3 linked regions of the Canis lupus familiaris genome follow. The protein of the gene in region 1 interacts with the protein of each later gene in a biochemical or structural test. Links are inferred from orthologs where the notes say so. Each region holds a gene or a part of one and is shown in the gene's direction. Other genes may lie near its edges.

What was found.
Region 2: of the proteins of CRK (region 1) and ABL2, one has a biochemical effect on the other in vitro, tested with the Homo sapiens proteins (2 studies listed by BioGRID and IntAct, with this or other methods). The link is inferred for Canis lupus familiaris from reciprocal best matches to the Homo sapiens genes CRK and ABL2.
Region 3: the proteins of CRK (region 1) and ARHGAP32 form a complex in vitro, tested with the Homo sapiens proteins (2 studies listed by BioGRID and IntAct, with this or other methods). The link is inferred for Canis lupus familiaris from reciprocal best matches to the Homo sapiens genes CRK and ARHGAP32.

Annotation. Positions count from the first base shown.
Region 1 is NC_049230.1:45,570,471-45,575,310, reverse strand, and holds the start of CRK (adapter molecule crk), read left to right. Parts: upstream 1-1,673; 5' UTR 1,674-1,780; coding exon 1,781-2,021; intron 2,022-4,840. UniProt on the Homo sapiens protein: Involved in cell branching and adhesion mediated by BCAR1-CRK-RAPGEF1 signaling and activation of RAP1.
Region 2 is NC_049228.1:20,504,746-20,509,857, forward strand, and holds the start of ABL2 (tyrosine-protein kinase ABL2), read left to right. Parts: upstream 1-1,671; 5' UTR 1,672-1,891; coding exon 1,892-2,048; intron 2,049-5,112. UniProt on the Homo sapiens protein: Non-receptor tyrosine-protein kinase that plays an ABL1-overlapping role in key processes linked to cell growth and survival such as cytoskeleton remodeling in response to extracellular stimuli, cell motility and adhesion and receptor endocytosis.
Region 3 is NC_049226.1:5,524,775-5,529,784, forward strand, and holds the start of ARHGAP32 (rho GTPase-activating protein 32), read left to right. Parts: upstream 1-1,569; 5' UTR 1,570-1,646; coding exon 1,647-1,762; intron 1,763-5,010. UniProt on the Homo sapiens protein: GTPase-activating protein (GAP) promoting GTP hydrolysis on RHOA, CDC42 and RAC1 small GTPases. May be involved in the differentiation of neuronal cells during the formation of neurite extensions.

The DNA of each region.
Region 1 (4,840 bases):
ATGTGTGGCCTTTGAGGAGTTCTAGTGTAGGACACAGACAGACCTGTGAATGAAGGATTACAGTACAATGGGTAGGAACTGTAATGGAAATAATATGGACACAGGGCTATGGATGCAGAGAGGAAGTAATAGTTGGTTAAAAAAGGGAAGACAGGGGGATCCCTGGGTGGTTCAGAGGTTTAGCACCTGCCTTGAGCCCAGGGCGTGATCCTGGAGTCCCGGGATCGAGTCCCACATCAGGCTCCCTGCATGGAGCCTGCTTCTCCCTCTGCCTGTGTCTCTGCCTCTGTCTGTGTGTCTCTCATGAATAAATAAATAAATAAATCTTAAAAAAAAAAGAAAAAAAAGAGAAGACATTTGAGATTCAGATCCAGAAAGGAGTGAAAGGGTATTCCAGAAAAAAGAAACACAAGGTTCATGTAGGAGCTGTTAAGAGGACACTGTGACCTCATTTTATGCTGTGACCTAAACTGGGAATTTTAAGTTCTGGAGACTGTTGTTTGTTTGTTTTTTTAAGATTTTATTTATTTATTTATTCATGAGAGACACAGAGAGAGGCAGAGATGTAGGCAGAGGGAGAAGGAGGCTCCCTGCAAGGAGCCTGATGTGGGATGCGATCCCACATCCCAGAATCACCCCCTGAGCCAGAGGCAGATGCTCAACCACTGAGCCACTCAGGCGTCCCAGTTCTGGAGACTGTTAAAAGTTGTGCACAGGGTAGGAACAGTCTTAGAGTTGTAATTTAGAAAGCACACACTGTCAGATGTGTGCAATGTACTTAGAGCAGCAAGTCTATAGGGCACCAGTGAACAGGCTGTTCACAGGAATACAGATACAGATATGGAATACAGAGACAGAGATCATGATAGTAAGGAGAATAGAGGATACCCCTGGCCACGACTAGTGTTTAGAAGAATCTGGGCAAATGACTTGAAAGACTCAATCCAGAGAACTCCTGGCTTGGCACATTCTGCTCTCTCTGTCTTGCATGCTCTTCCCCTACTGGCCATTCAACATTCAGCTCAAGCCACCTCCTCTGGTAGGTGGAGGACTGAATCCCTTTACAGACTGGGCTGGAGCTCCTGGTTGGTTCCCTCTCACAGTGCTTGGAATTCCTTTGTCATTGTTCCTGCTTCCTCCCACTGGTCTGTGAATTCTGTGAGGTCAGGGCCCAAACCTTGATCACCTTTGCACCCACAGAGCAAATGTGGTGTCAGTAACTGCTGAGTCAATCAGTGCAAACAAAATACTTAAGCCAGTCTAGAGAGAAGATGGAGGAACCACCAGAAAAGGACCAAAGTCTCCAGGAGCTCAGGCCCTGAGGCCACATACATCTTTTGTAGTCCAACTGTGTCTCGGAGTTGCTGCCTAGAATTCCCGGGCCTTCCAGGAACTCGAACCCTGGAGCCGCGTGGCCAAAACCGCAAACACAAACCTCCGCCGACTCCTCGCTGAGCCCCTACCACCGGCCCTGGACTTGGCCCCTCCATCCCCTGCAGTCCCGATCCCCGCCAGGCGGCGACGCACACGGCGGCGCATGCGCAGTGCGCACCCGAGCTGTCCTTTGCCCTTCTCCCCATGGCGGGTTGCGGTCCCCTTCCCGGCATCCTCGCGGGGGCAAGGTGCGCGTCATTTCCGGTGGGGAAGGCCCGCGGCCGCCGCCGCCATTTCGGGCACTGCTGTGAAGCTGAGACCCGAGCCGGTCCGCTGGGCGGCGGGCGCCGGGGCAGGAGGGGCGCGCGTGCCGGCGGCGGCCCAGCGTGTAGGCGCGGAGGCGGCCATGGCGGGCAACTTCGACTCGGAGGAGCGGAGTAGCTGGTACTGGGGGCGGTTGAGCCGGCAGGAGGCGGTGGCGCTGTTGCAGGGCCAGCGGCACGGGGTGTTTCTGGTGCGGGACTCGAGCACCAGCCCCGGGGACTATGTGCTCAGCGTCTCGGAGAACTCGCGCGTCTCCCACTACATCATCAACAGCAGCGGCCCGCGCCCGTCTGTGCCACCGTCGCCCGCCCAGCCTCCGCCCGGTGAGGACGGACGGGACGGGACGGGAGGCCCCGGGCGGGGTGAGGGCCGCGGAACTCGCCAGCCTGACCGGCTGCCCCTCGCGAGCTAGCCTCCACGAGGGACGTGGGCAGAGGGCTGGAGCGACCCTGGCATGGGGGTACCTTGGTGCCCGGGCTCGTTCCCACCACTGGCGGTTGTGTGTGTGTGGAGGAGGAGCCGCTGACCCAGGCCTCTGGGTGTGACTTGGGAGGACAGCCCAGGGGAAGGGGAACTGCTTCGGCCCCAGGGTGGGGCTAGCGCCGGGGCCAGGCACTAGGGCAGGGCGGGCAACGTGGGGACAAAGAGCGGAGGGGGATATTGGCACTGCGGGGGCATCACTTGGCAGCGGTTCCCAGGATGAATTCGATAATCCTACAAGTGGCTTTTTAGGCTTGAAACATTTCCTGTACTGTTAGAGAGCCGGGTTTGGTTTGGAGAGCTATTCTCCCCTGCTGGCCTTTGATAGGAAGTCACCACATACTAGCCCGGAGGGATGGAGACACCCTCAGGAAACCGGTCAGCTTTTTCCTTTCTTGGGCATCTTTCCAAAATACTTTTACTGTCCTCTTCCCCCGCGGAGGACGAAGGTGGTGAGCTAAGTGCCTTGGTGACAGAAGTAAGCCCTCTGTGATCAGCCCAGAACAAGTTGATGTCCAGCTGACCGTGTCCAAGAGATCTTGGCGTCCAGAGACTCTTTTCCACAATTAGAGGGTTCTAGTTTTCAGGGTATTTTGTGGAGGACAGATTCTATGCCCCCACACCCCTCCCAGGAAATAAGCCAGTGGAAACAGTCCCTTCCTTGGAAGTGAATGGAACTTCCAATTTCATTGGACTTAAGCATTGTCAATGTCATATGTCAGGGCCTCTTGCTCAGTAAGTTGGGGCTGTGGCCCTTTTCTTTCTTAACCAAGGATCACTGAGATGTGACTGTCCTACTTACGCCTTTAGAGCTGTTTGGAGAATGTTAAGGAGGTTCATGCACTTAGTACTTGAGATTTGTGAAATACAGAGTAATTCTGAGGTTATTGTCAGATTACCATCATCTGTGTAACAGCACCAAGAGTTGTAGTCTTTCTCATTTTTCAAATTGAAGCAGTTTTCTTCTGACCAGCTGAGGCTAGCTCCAGGCCAGTCTCATAAGAATTAGGAGCCTCCTGAGCCAGCCTTTGCAAACTTGCCCTTTAGGGATAGTCCTAATTTAGATTCATTCACTCTGGCCAGAAATAGGGAGATGGGATAGTCAGTCTCTGTTGCTAACACGTATCAATTATAGGAAGAGTATGAGATCTTTAAATCCAGGAAGTATCCTAGGTCTTCTCAGTCTGCTTGGTTTAATTTTTATTTTAAGATTTTATTTATCTATCTATCATCTGTCTATCTATCTATCTATCTATCTATGAAAGACACAGGCAGAGGGAGAAGCAGACTTCTCGCTGGGAGCCCGATGCAGGACTCAATCCCCAGACCCAGGATCATGCCCTGAGGTGAAGGCAGTCACTCAACCGCTAAGCCACCCAGGCACGTCCCAGTCTGTTTGGTTTAATAGCATAACATGAGACAGGAATATTGATAGAACATAAATTTGCCCTAAACCCGATATGTTGTGCTTTTCCTTTTTTTTTTTTTTTTTTTTTAATTTTTATTTATTTATGATAGTCACAGAGAGAGAGAGAGAGAGAGGCAGAGACATAGGCAGAGGGAGAAGCAGGCTCCATGCACCGGGAGCCCGATGTGGGATTCGATCCCGGGTCTCCAGGATCGCGCCCTGGGCCAAAGGCAGGCGCCAAACCGCTGCGCCACCCAGGGATCCCTATGTTGTGCTTTTTCACCACCTTCTTGGTATCTAGGGTTGTGCATTACAGTGCAGTAATATGTCAAACTGTCACTGAAATTCAATTTTCAACCTCCTGCACCCCCAGTTTTCAACCTTTTATGTATGCGTTTTGCAAAATTTGGAGATGACAACAGGCAGGTTTGCTGGTTTGAGCTTTCTACACACCTTTGTGTTATGACTTTATATCTCTGCGCTTACCTTGATATTGAGCTCCACCTTTTCATAACAGATAGGAGTTCAAATCCTTGGCTCAAGAGAGAAGGTGAAGATTGCCAGAGTTTGTGGATGGGGTGTGGAAAGTTCACAGGCATTGTGTTAATTCTTGTTTCTGGTAATGTGCCCAGTTTTTCACATAGAGCAATTGATTGAGTTGCTGTCTTTATAAAGGTTACTTAGTCTTTGTTCTCCTTGCTTCCCCGTCAAGCTCTTTTCTTTTTGAAACTATACAGAGGAATTTCTTTAATTTTAGAAAAGCGTGTAGAGTATTAATAGCTAACATTTATTGACTGGTTATTCTGTGCCAAGTACTTTGCTGAGTACTTTCTGTGCCTTGTCTCATTTTCTGTCTATAACAATCTGGTGAGAAATACTGTAATCTCTATTTACTAAAATATTTTCATTTTATAGGTGAGGAAACAGAGAGATTCAGGAACTTGCCCAAGGTCACACAGCTGATAAATGACTGAGCCAGATTTTCAACTTCGGAATTCTGACTAGAGAGCTGACACTATTCTGTACTTCTTTCTCTTTCCTTTTGAGATCTGAACAGTGCTCATAGAAGATTTGTTTCTGTCACAGGGTCCTATGTTCTGTTTAAAGACCAAAAGGAAAGGATGACCAGAAGAAACTAGCTTTAGTATTTGGACAATACATGTCTTTTATCTAAAAGTCAATGATGAGGGACGCCTGAGTGGCTCAGTGGTTGAGCCTCTGCCTTTGGCTCAGGGCGTGACGATCCCAGAGTCC
Region 2 (5,112 bases), on another chromosome or scaffold:
TGCCCTTAGCCACTGTACTATACTCATCTATTATGTACCATGCATGAATTAGCAGAGAAGCCAGACTGCTATGCTTAAATTAGTATTCTCTCAGATAATAAAAACCAAACAATACACCAAGTTCTACCTCTATGATAACCTTTATCCCTTGTAATTGATTTTTTTCCCCAGTAGTTGCAAATGCTTCAGGAATTAAAAGGAAAAAAATATTTTAAACACAGGAAAGCTTTGATCCAAATGGAAAATTCATATTCTATCTAGTGCTAAAGCACAGTGTTTCTGTTACCATTTGGGGGAGGGGCAATTTCAGTTATTTGGGGTTACCCTGGATCACAATGGAATAATTCCATAGTGCTCTGATAGTATCAATGTCAATGGATGGTCCATCTAAGGTCATCCTGGTTCTTTCTTTCTTTTTTTTTTTTAAGGTCATCCTGGTTCTATGAAAGGTGTGTAAAGGAGAGCCGCATCCGCCTTTCCCCCCTAAACCTACCTTCCTAGTGAATGTTTTGTTGCTTCTTTGAAATGTCTCCTATCCTGTCTGCTTTAACTTTAAGCATATTTTCTGTGTGGAACCTGTAATAACAGATACTTTGTATTAAGTAAATAAGGAAGTGAAAGGAAGAGTAAGAAGATAGTTACCAAGTTCCTTGAGAATTTAAAAAACTGGATCAATATTAAGATGCAAGCGTGTGCAGTGGGACAATGATTTGTGAATATTTGTACATACACATGTGTTTGCATGTATCCAAACACTGCTGCTTGAGTCACTCTCTTGGGACAAAATAAATTAATGATGAGTAAGTTCAGGGTCAAAGAGAAATTTTCTTTTTCTCCTTTGTCATCAAAGGAAGACCAGACCACGGGCACGGTATATAAAGCACACCAGTGGCACCATCAGCTTTACTGTCGAGCACTGTAAGGGTAACAACACGTGGTTAGACGGTAAAGGAGTTCAAAAGGAATTCATGGTAATACGAGGAATGGGGCCGTAAGTGTCTCTCCAATGAGGCTGCAGAGTGCAGACAACGGAGGCGAGGACAATTTAACATCATGAAAGGGTCTCAAAAAATTGCAATGAAATAACGTACCTTTTTTGTACGACCCTCATGTACATTTTGTATAATCTTAGACTAGGCCTGCTGAGAACGGTGTTGAAAAGGATCCTCCCGGGCGTTTCAGGGATGCTCACCTGGATGGCAAGCAGCAAACGCCTTGCGCTTTCCTGTCCCAACTGTGCCTGCTGTGCACCTGGGGCGCTCCGCGCGCGCCTGATGGACTTGACAGGTGGAGGTGGGACCGGGAAGGCTTTCGACCGTGCACCTCCGAAAGGCGGCAGCACGGAGAGCCGGACGTGGGAGGGGTCGGCGGAGACGAATCCAGACCCCGCAGGCCCGGGGGGCGCGAAGGGCGGGAGGACCCGAAAGACCCGAAGGCGTGGAGGAGGCCGCGCGGACGAGGTGGGCGCGAGGGGGACCCCCCGGCGAGGAGGCGGGGCCGGGGGCGGGGCCGGGGGCGGGGCCTCCGGGAATTCCTCCCTCGGAGAAGCGGAGGTGACTGGCCGGGAGGGGGGGCGGGGCGGGGCGGGAGACGCTCTGTCCCACGCTCTCCCAGCGCTCGGTGGTTTAAAGATGGCGGCGGCGGCGGCGGCGGCGTTGGGGGCGCGGAGCCGCGGGAGGAGGAGGCGGGGGGAGAGTCTGTGAGTCGCCCAGAGGCAGCGCGGCGGCTGCTGCGAGGAGTCCGCGTGCGGAGCCGCCGGCGGCCCGAGCGCTCGGGGCCGGGGCCTGGACTGGGAAGGAGAGGCCGGAGCAGCGCCGGGAGCCCGAGGCCGGAGCCGAGGAGGAATGTGACCTGGGGTCGGCGGGGGGCGCGGGAGTACGCGAGCGCAGGGATGGGGCAGCAGGTGGGCCGCGTCGGGGAGGCTCCGGGGCTTCAGCAGCCGCAGCCCCGCGGCATCCGGGTCGGCAGTGTGGCCAGGCCCTCCGGCCGCAGGCGGGACCTGGCGGGGCGCACCGCGGAGGCCGGCTTCAATATCTTCACCCAGCACGGTGAGTGTGTGTGGGAGCGGCGTGAGGGCGCGGGGAGGCCGGGGGTGGGGTTGGGGCGGGGTGGGGAGGAGACAGGCGGCCCTGGGGGGTCGGGGGGTGGCGGGGTGCCTGAGAGTGGGGGCGGAATCCGCTGCCATCTGGGCCAGTCACGGGAGTCGAGTCACACCCCTCCCCCCGCCCGCCTCCAGCCTGGCTGGCAGCTCCCGGGGGCGGAGAAGGAAAGAGCAGTGGGCTCAGGGACGGTGGAGGGACTGTCCTCTCCCCTGGGACAGACTGTGTGGCTCGGGGAGGCCGGAGGATAGTATCGCCAGGGGAGGCAAGGATGCTGGGAGGTGTGAGCTCAGTCCAGTAGGTGTTCGTGTAACCCGGTCGTCTGCGAAGGGAATGGGGTTGTGCCTCCAGGGATTTGGAAATAGGAACCGCATCTCAGGAGCTACTGGCGTATAAAGTATACACACATATAAAGTCAGACTATGAGCAGTGTCAGAAGAGAGAGCAGTGACCAGAAATACTCTAATATGGCAAAGATAAAGGTAGTATCTCAGCGCTTTTGAGATTCCACCCCCCTTCCCCCCCCCCCCCCCCCCCCCCCCAAACTGGAAATGAAAGGCTTTGCCAGGCTGTCCTATGTTCTGAGCTCTTGGGTAGGACTCAATTCTGAGAAGCTGGCAGGGGTTAGAGGTTGGTGGGCATGGTTAGGACTTTGGATATGAACAAGAGTTTTCTTCCTGCAGTCTGTGCATGTGTACATAAATCCTCTGCAGTCTGGAACCTATTACTTTGGTCTTATTATCGAGGTATTTTTAGAATGATTGTCTCCGAACTCTTTTGATCATACCCTTTTATCAGTAAAAGAGCACGTACTCCAAGAATTCGTTATCTGTTAATTATATATGTACTTGTTCTGCTGTACCAGTACGTTATGTAACTTATGAATGCACACAAATAGAATTTAAGAAAGGGTAAGATGAAAAAAATAAGTAATGAGAGTTCTAATTTATTTTTTTTTCCCTGCAGCCCAGTGGATCCTTTTGCACTATCTGAGCTGCACCCACACCACTTTTGAGACCACTTTTCTAGAGGAAGGAAGAGTGGAGAAGGGGGAAAAAGAAAATTGACCTTCATGGGGTTGGAATACCATGAGACTTCAGGCTGAAGGGGTAGATGTGACTTAATATATAAAAGAGGACTGGGTAGTTGAGGTTGGATGAGTGGTAGCAAACTGGAGTTTTCACTAAGTAATAAAGGATAAAAGAGACATGGTTCTATAATACACAATGTACAGAAGAAGAGGAAGAAAAAGAAGTGTGAATTATTTGTTAGAAATGGAGTTTTGGAGGAAGTGATGATAGATGGTAGTGTGCAAAGAAAGAGATGAACCCAAGGAACTGTGGCTTTTGGCTGAGTTGTATCCGAGAGCTCTGGGTTTGGACTTTGTGAATATGCTGAGTTGTTTCTAAATGGAGAAGATAAGTGATTTGGGGCCTTTCAGGTGTTACATGTGTACTATTAAAGATGTGAGTGAGCTTCTCTTCCAGATATATGAACATTTTATGAAGGTGCTATATGTGAGTTAGTCTTTATTAAAATCACTTTTTAAAGCACTGGAGGAAAGAATGGATAATAAGTTTTCAAGGAAGATCATCCAAGTTAGCCTAGTTTTGTGGGAAGTGCTAGTGTACATCAAACTTGGCCCAGTAGGCGACAGTGATTCTCTTCCTCCAGGATCTTACTGAAGACAGACTTTTCAGAGAAGGAGGAATATCATGAAGAATGGAATAAGAAGAGATTTTGAAGGGTGGATAGGTTTCGAATCTCTTGAAAAAGGAAAAGAAGGCAGGCTGGGCAGGAGAAACAACTTGAGCATGAACAATGGGAATTAACATGATTTGCTGATGGGATAGTGAGGAGACATCTGTTGGGAGTGAAGCAAGTCCTCCAGGAGTGAATCCTAGAGGAAAAATTGCAAGAATCAAGTTCTGGTCCTAGCTCTACTTGGCTGCGAGATTTAGTTACTTGCCATCTTTGGGTTTATCTGCAAAATACTGGACTGGTTGATCCCAAAGGTACTTTCTGACTCTTAAGATTTTATTATTCTAATTGAAGCAGTGCCAAGAAAGCTTTAGATATGTTTAACTGGGCATGGGTGATGGAAAATGTGGCAGAGGATTTTATATCAGTTTACCTGATTGGCTAATTCATAGAATATATTAACAAACCCAAGTATGAAATGCTGAAAGACTGGCTTTAAATGGAGGCAAAGGAAATAGGACAGGAAAGTTCGAGAGATATTTCATTCATCCAATAAACAGAAGTTTTTTGAGTACCTATTATGTAACTGAGCTTTGGGAATATTGCTTTAAACATAAGAGACCCTGTCCTTGTAGAACTTAAAGGACTTCGTGATTCAGTATAGAAGATGAAAGAATAGAGATTGTTTTGGAATATTAAGGGCCATTGTGTGTGGGTTTGAAAACTGGCTTAACTGTTTATTTTTGTGACCCTAGGCAAGTTATTTAACCTTTTTATGCCTTGTATTCTCCATTGGTAAAATGGGGATAAGAGCACCTAATAATAATAGTACCTAGATTAAATTTTTTTTAAGATTTATTTTTATTTATTTATGATAGAGAGGGAGAGAGAGAGAGAGAGAGAGAGAGGGGCAGAGACACAGGCAGAGGGAGAAACAGGCTCCATGCCGGGAGCCCGACGCGGGACTCGATCCTGAGACTCCAGGATTGCGCCCTGGGCCAAAGGCAGGCGTGAAACCGCTGAGCCACCCAGGGATCCCCAGTACCTAGATTAAATTAGTCAATATACGGAAGGTACTTTTAGTGCCTGACACATAGTAAGAGCTAATATGTGTTAGCTGCTGTTATTACTACCACTATTATTATAAAAATAGAGGTGTGTCAAAGACTAGGAGATTTTAAAATTGGCTGAGATAATGATTATCGACAAGTTTGGGAGTTAGAAGCTGATTGAAAGGACAGGGATAGGATAAGTTTGTTGCCGAAGTCTAGTACGAAAAGACAGTCATTAGCAAATAGTAATACAGTAAACA
Region 3 (5,010 bases), on another chromosome or scaffold:
AATACTGTTATTTTAACATTTAAAAATCTGATTCTTTGCTGAGGGATATAAAAGACTGTTAAAGTTAGTTATTATTCTTGCAAGGGTGATATGCGCACGATACAGTGAAAACCTGTCTCCCTCTCGTTCCGTGTTTTCCCCCTGGAGACAGCAGCTCTCACTGGTACTGTCCTGTGTATCTTCTGTGCATGTAGTCCTGTGTGTTTCTCCTTCCTCTTCTTTGAAAATGTGTTTGGGAACATGTCATCTATACTGTTGTCCACATTTGCCTCTTTTTTCTTTGCCTTGATACTGTGCCTTAGTCTTGACCAGTAGGGCTGCCTTGAGTTTCTCTACCCAAATGTATTGCATTCCGTTCTGTGGAGATTCCGTAATTTGATTATCCAGTTTTCCATTAATGAGCAAGTTAGGTGGTTTTTGCTATTCTGTTGTTATAAAGTTTACTGCTGTGAATATTTGTTTCTTTGTTATTTCCACCTGTGAAAATAAAGTAATTTCCCAGGGCAGCCCGGGTGGCTCAGCCGCCTTTGGCCCAGGGCGTGATCCTGGAGACCCAGGATCGAGTCCCACGTCGGGCTCCCTGCACGGAGCCTGCTCCTCCCTCTGCCTGTGTCTCTGCCTCTCTGTCTCTCCGTGTCTCTGATGAATAAAAATAAATAAATAAATAAATAAATAAATAAATAAATAAATAAATAAATAAGAAACAGTAATTTCCTAGAAAGGGAATTGCTGGGCCAAAAGATGAGTATCTGACGTATCAGTGGTTGGTACCAACGTGGTTATTTTCTGAGTAACAGTTGTGTTATTGTCAGTGTTACAGATGCTGTAGTCTTCACTCCTTTCCCAGCAAGTCATTTTATTGCTGCCATGGGCGTCTGCAGTTTAAATGGTGTGTTAAAAATGTTGCATGCTTTTATTTGGTGTAATTGTCAATGTCTTTTAACTTCTGGTATTTATTTATTTATTTTTCTTTAAAAGGCCATGGACAAGCCTGGCTGTTATGTCCCATTTTAGATGCCTGAGCAAGGTGTATCTGGCAGTTATTACTGCGGGGAAGGAAAGATGGGTGTAATATGAGAAGGCATGAAGTTGGGCAGGTCCCTGCTGCATGCTTGTCATGTCTCTGAGTTGCGATCCTCCTTAACTGTGAGGTCTGTAACTGTGCCTCTCTTTGTGGTTGGCCCAGGAGACTTCTACATCATAGTGTTATCTTTCTGGTTTTCGGTTTACCTTTCATAATTCATTTTGAAATAGCAAAATAAGAAAAGCTTGTACTTTGAAACTGTTTTTAACTTGTTAACTGGAAACCCGCGTGGAGAAAAATAGTTATTAGATCAATAATTAGTGAAAACTCACCTTCATTTGGGTTCTGCGTTGGATTATGTAGGTCACAGAGCCTGAGGCGGTGGGAGGGGCCTCGGTGTCACAGGTGTGGAGCCGTCGGATGCAGTGAGTGTGCTCTATGTGATTTCCTGTCTTTACCCCAACTGTAATTAGAATAGTACGTAATAGACTGTGGCCCGGCGTGATCACATATCACTGTGCATCAGCCACACACCTGGGTGTACATAAACAGAGCCGAACAACTTGAACATTGGTGGTGTTCTTTATTTCATGCCTTGAGGATTAAATTTTTTGAATACAAGATGGAGACTGAAAGTGAGAGTAGCACTTCGGGAGATGATAGTGTCTTTTGGTTGGATTCTGAAGTTATAACCGAGATGACTGGCAGTGAAGAGGGAGAGAGGGAAGATGACTTCAGGTAATTATGGAATTCACCCTTCTCTCTCTCTCACTTTTGTTCCTCTGTCCACTCTCTCCACCCCTGCACCCGTTTCTGATCCTTCCAGTTTTAATCTCTTCTCTGGTGAGACTATCTTTTTTTTTCTCTGGGGAACGTTTTGGAGCTGAAAAGAACAGGTTTCTAGTTGCACGTAGCGCTCTTCATTCCACAACATGCCCTGAGCTTATAAAATGCATTTTAAATGACTTGTTAGAACACCAGGAAGAGAAGGTGTTAGACAGGTTTTGTAGTAGCATTTCAGGAATTTCAAGTAGAGACTCATAATGAATGAAGTACCACTCCTTCCTGTATCTGATTTGTACCCAATAGATTTGATCTGAATTTGAATATAATAGGTTTTTCTTCCTCTTTTTTAGAATGTTTATATGTATCTGTGCCCAGGTGCATGGATACTTCTGTTGCTTTGTTCATGTGTATGAAACATTTTGACCATAAGTACAAATTAATTATTTCATGGCTTTGATCCCTACTCTTGTCCCTGACCTTATGTCTTACTCCCCTTCCCCTCTTGGGAATCTTTCTTGGTTTTGAATTTCTAGTTGTAACTTCATAACTTCTTTTAGGGAATGCCTCCTAATTAAGCAGATCTTGAAGTTTGGTGGCATGGGTGAAGAAACAGGTCTTTGTGAGTGCCATTGGTTTATTCTGTTTTAAACTTTAGAAGGCTTTTTTTTTTTTTTTCCAAACAGGTTAGCAAATTCATTCTTTTGGAGTTATTAAATCATGAAGAAGTTTGTTCTCTATATTATCACTGCCACCCACGTGAGCAATTAAACATCTTTTATAATTTTACCTGTGAGTGCTTGGGTAGGTGAACATACCATTATTTATATCAGATCTTGTCTTTATGTTTAATGTTCGAAAGAGTCTCTCTCAAGTTAAAGAATTTCTTTATCCACAGATCTGATTTTTAATATCTAGGATAGGGGAGCCTGGGTGGCTCAGTCTGTTGACTGTCCAGTTCTTGGTTTCAGATCAGCTTATGATCTCGGGGTTCTGAGACTGAGCCCCATGTTGGGTTGTGTGCACAGGGCAGAGTCAGCTTGAGATTCTCTCAGCCTCCCTCTGCCCCTCCTCCTGCTGCCTCACACACTCTCTCTCATAAATAAAATCTTAAAAAAACTAAAGGATAAATGGCAGAAAGGATTAAATATAAGGAAGTCTTGATAGCTCACATTAAATTTCCCACTCAGTGTTTAAAATGAATAAGTGTGTTTTAAATTTTGTAAAAAAGTTTAATGTTCAAAGTATGAAAATGGACTATTAGCATATGAAGTTCTTTTTTTGTATCAACTTTGTCATTCTTCCCATGATTTTATATGGCCTTTCCTATGTGAGTAAGCTACTTCTCTACCAAAATATGCTTTTTTATGTTCCATAAATTCTTTATAATATGGTCAGTGTCTCATGGACAGTTAGAAAAAAATAAAGCATGTATTTTGTTGGTATTAAAACTGTTTAACTTGGTATTAAAATTATAAAAGTTATTTTGGGGTATTAGTCAAAGGAAGAAATAATCCAGACTTTGTTGTTGTAATAGATTTGGTACTGTCATCCTTGATTTACTTGTTAGGCAACAGGAGCCTGTCTGGGTTTTTCTTCTGACTGTTAAATTTGAAAGCAAATCTTTCTTTTTTCTTCAAGACTATGTGATAGCATTTTCATCCTGAGAAACTGAACTCTAGGTTTGCATTGTTGCAAACACTAGAGTGGCAAATGCCATGACACACCACAGGGCATTGATCCTTTTTATAGTATTTCATATCTGAATATCATCATTGCTCTCCCACACCAAATATGCCTTTGAGATTTGATCTTTCTTTGTCAGTGCAACAAAGAGATCTGGGTAAGGCCATATTTCATGTAGTGTTTCTCCCCTATTCAGCGGTAAGACATGAGGAAATGTGGCAGCAGAGTGCTTTTATGACATTCGAAGCGGCGTTCCAGCTAAAATGCCTAACAGAAAAATGTGTGTGTGGGTGTCGAAGGTGAAGGGTTGTGGTAGGACAGTTGCAGCTGTAACCTTGGGAGAACTAAATAGTAGACTCAGTGTTTCACATGAGAAGTGTTTTAATAAAAGCAATTTAGTAATTAAGAAAATATACGGAAAACTCTTCATGTGTTTCTTTAAAATCTGTGCTAATACACATTAAACTGTGTTATTGTTTACATTCTAGTTAATTTTCATTTGCACACAATAGCATTGTGTCATTTGTGACACCGTGACTGAGAAAATCATACCCTACCTACGATGTAGGTTTGTGGTGCTTCTAGCTATCATCTGCCTCAGGAAGAAGTACTCACAGAGGGGCATTCATATTTGTCCATTAGCTTTTGGAATAACATTTATTTTTATTGGCTGGAGGAAAGGATACTTTTTCTTACATTCTAGCACTGTGGGAAGTTGCCCAATCTCCTTCATCGCAGTAGTTCAAACTTGTCTACCACTGACTCACAAATCTCTCATTTTCTGAGTTCTCATTTGTAGAGTAAAGCTATTACCTACCCATTATCACTGTTAAAATAGTTCTTCGACTAGAACATTTAGAGATTGCCATAATCCTTAGAGTAGAAGAGTCCTTAAGAATCATTAGAAGAGCCCTTCCGTCAGGAGGAATATGGTACAGAAGAGGAAAAGGAGAGGTGCTTTAAATATTTTAAGAAAGAAAAATTTAATTTTGGAGTTGTTATATGCAGCGTATTAAGCCAAATATGTTATGTGCAGTTTGTCACTTATCTGTCAATCCTATAAAGTTGGTAGTATTTTTCCTATTTTCCAGATGAGGAAATTGTCACTCAGAAAGGCACACATAGACCACGTTGTAAGTATATGGTAAAGCAAAATTTTGAACCGAGATGTAAATGAATTTGAAAGTGAAAGACTAGTGAAATATGTAACTGTTAAATCTTAGTTCTGAAATTCCTTTCTTAGGAAGGGATTTTGAGTAATGGTGATATATATACAACAAACATAAAAGTGAACTAGCACATACAATAATGTGATCTTTTAGATACCTAACAGTTATTACTAACTCGCAATCATGAAAGGTATTGGTTCTTTGGCATTTTAAGGTTAGAAATGTTTATTATATAATCTAGTTAATCTTTTCTAATATTATATTATATTAGACAGATACATAGCCTGGCAAATATGACATATTGTTTGAAACACAGAGATGATACAGTGCATAGTTGAACCACATCTT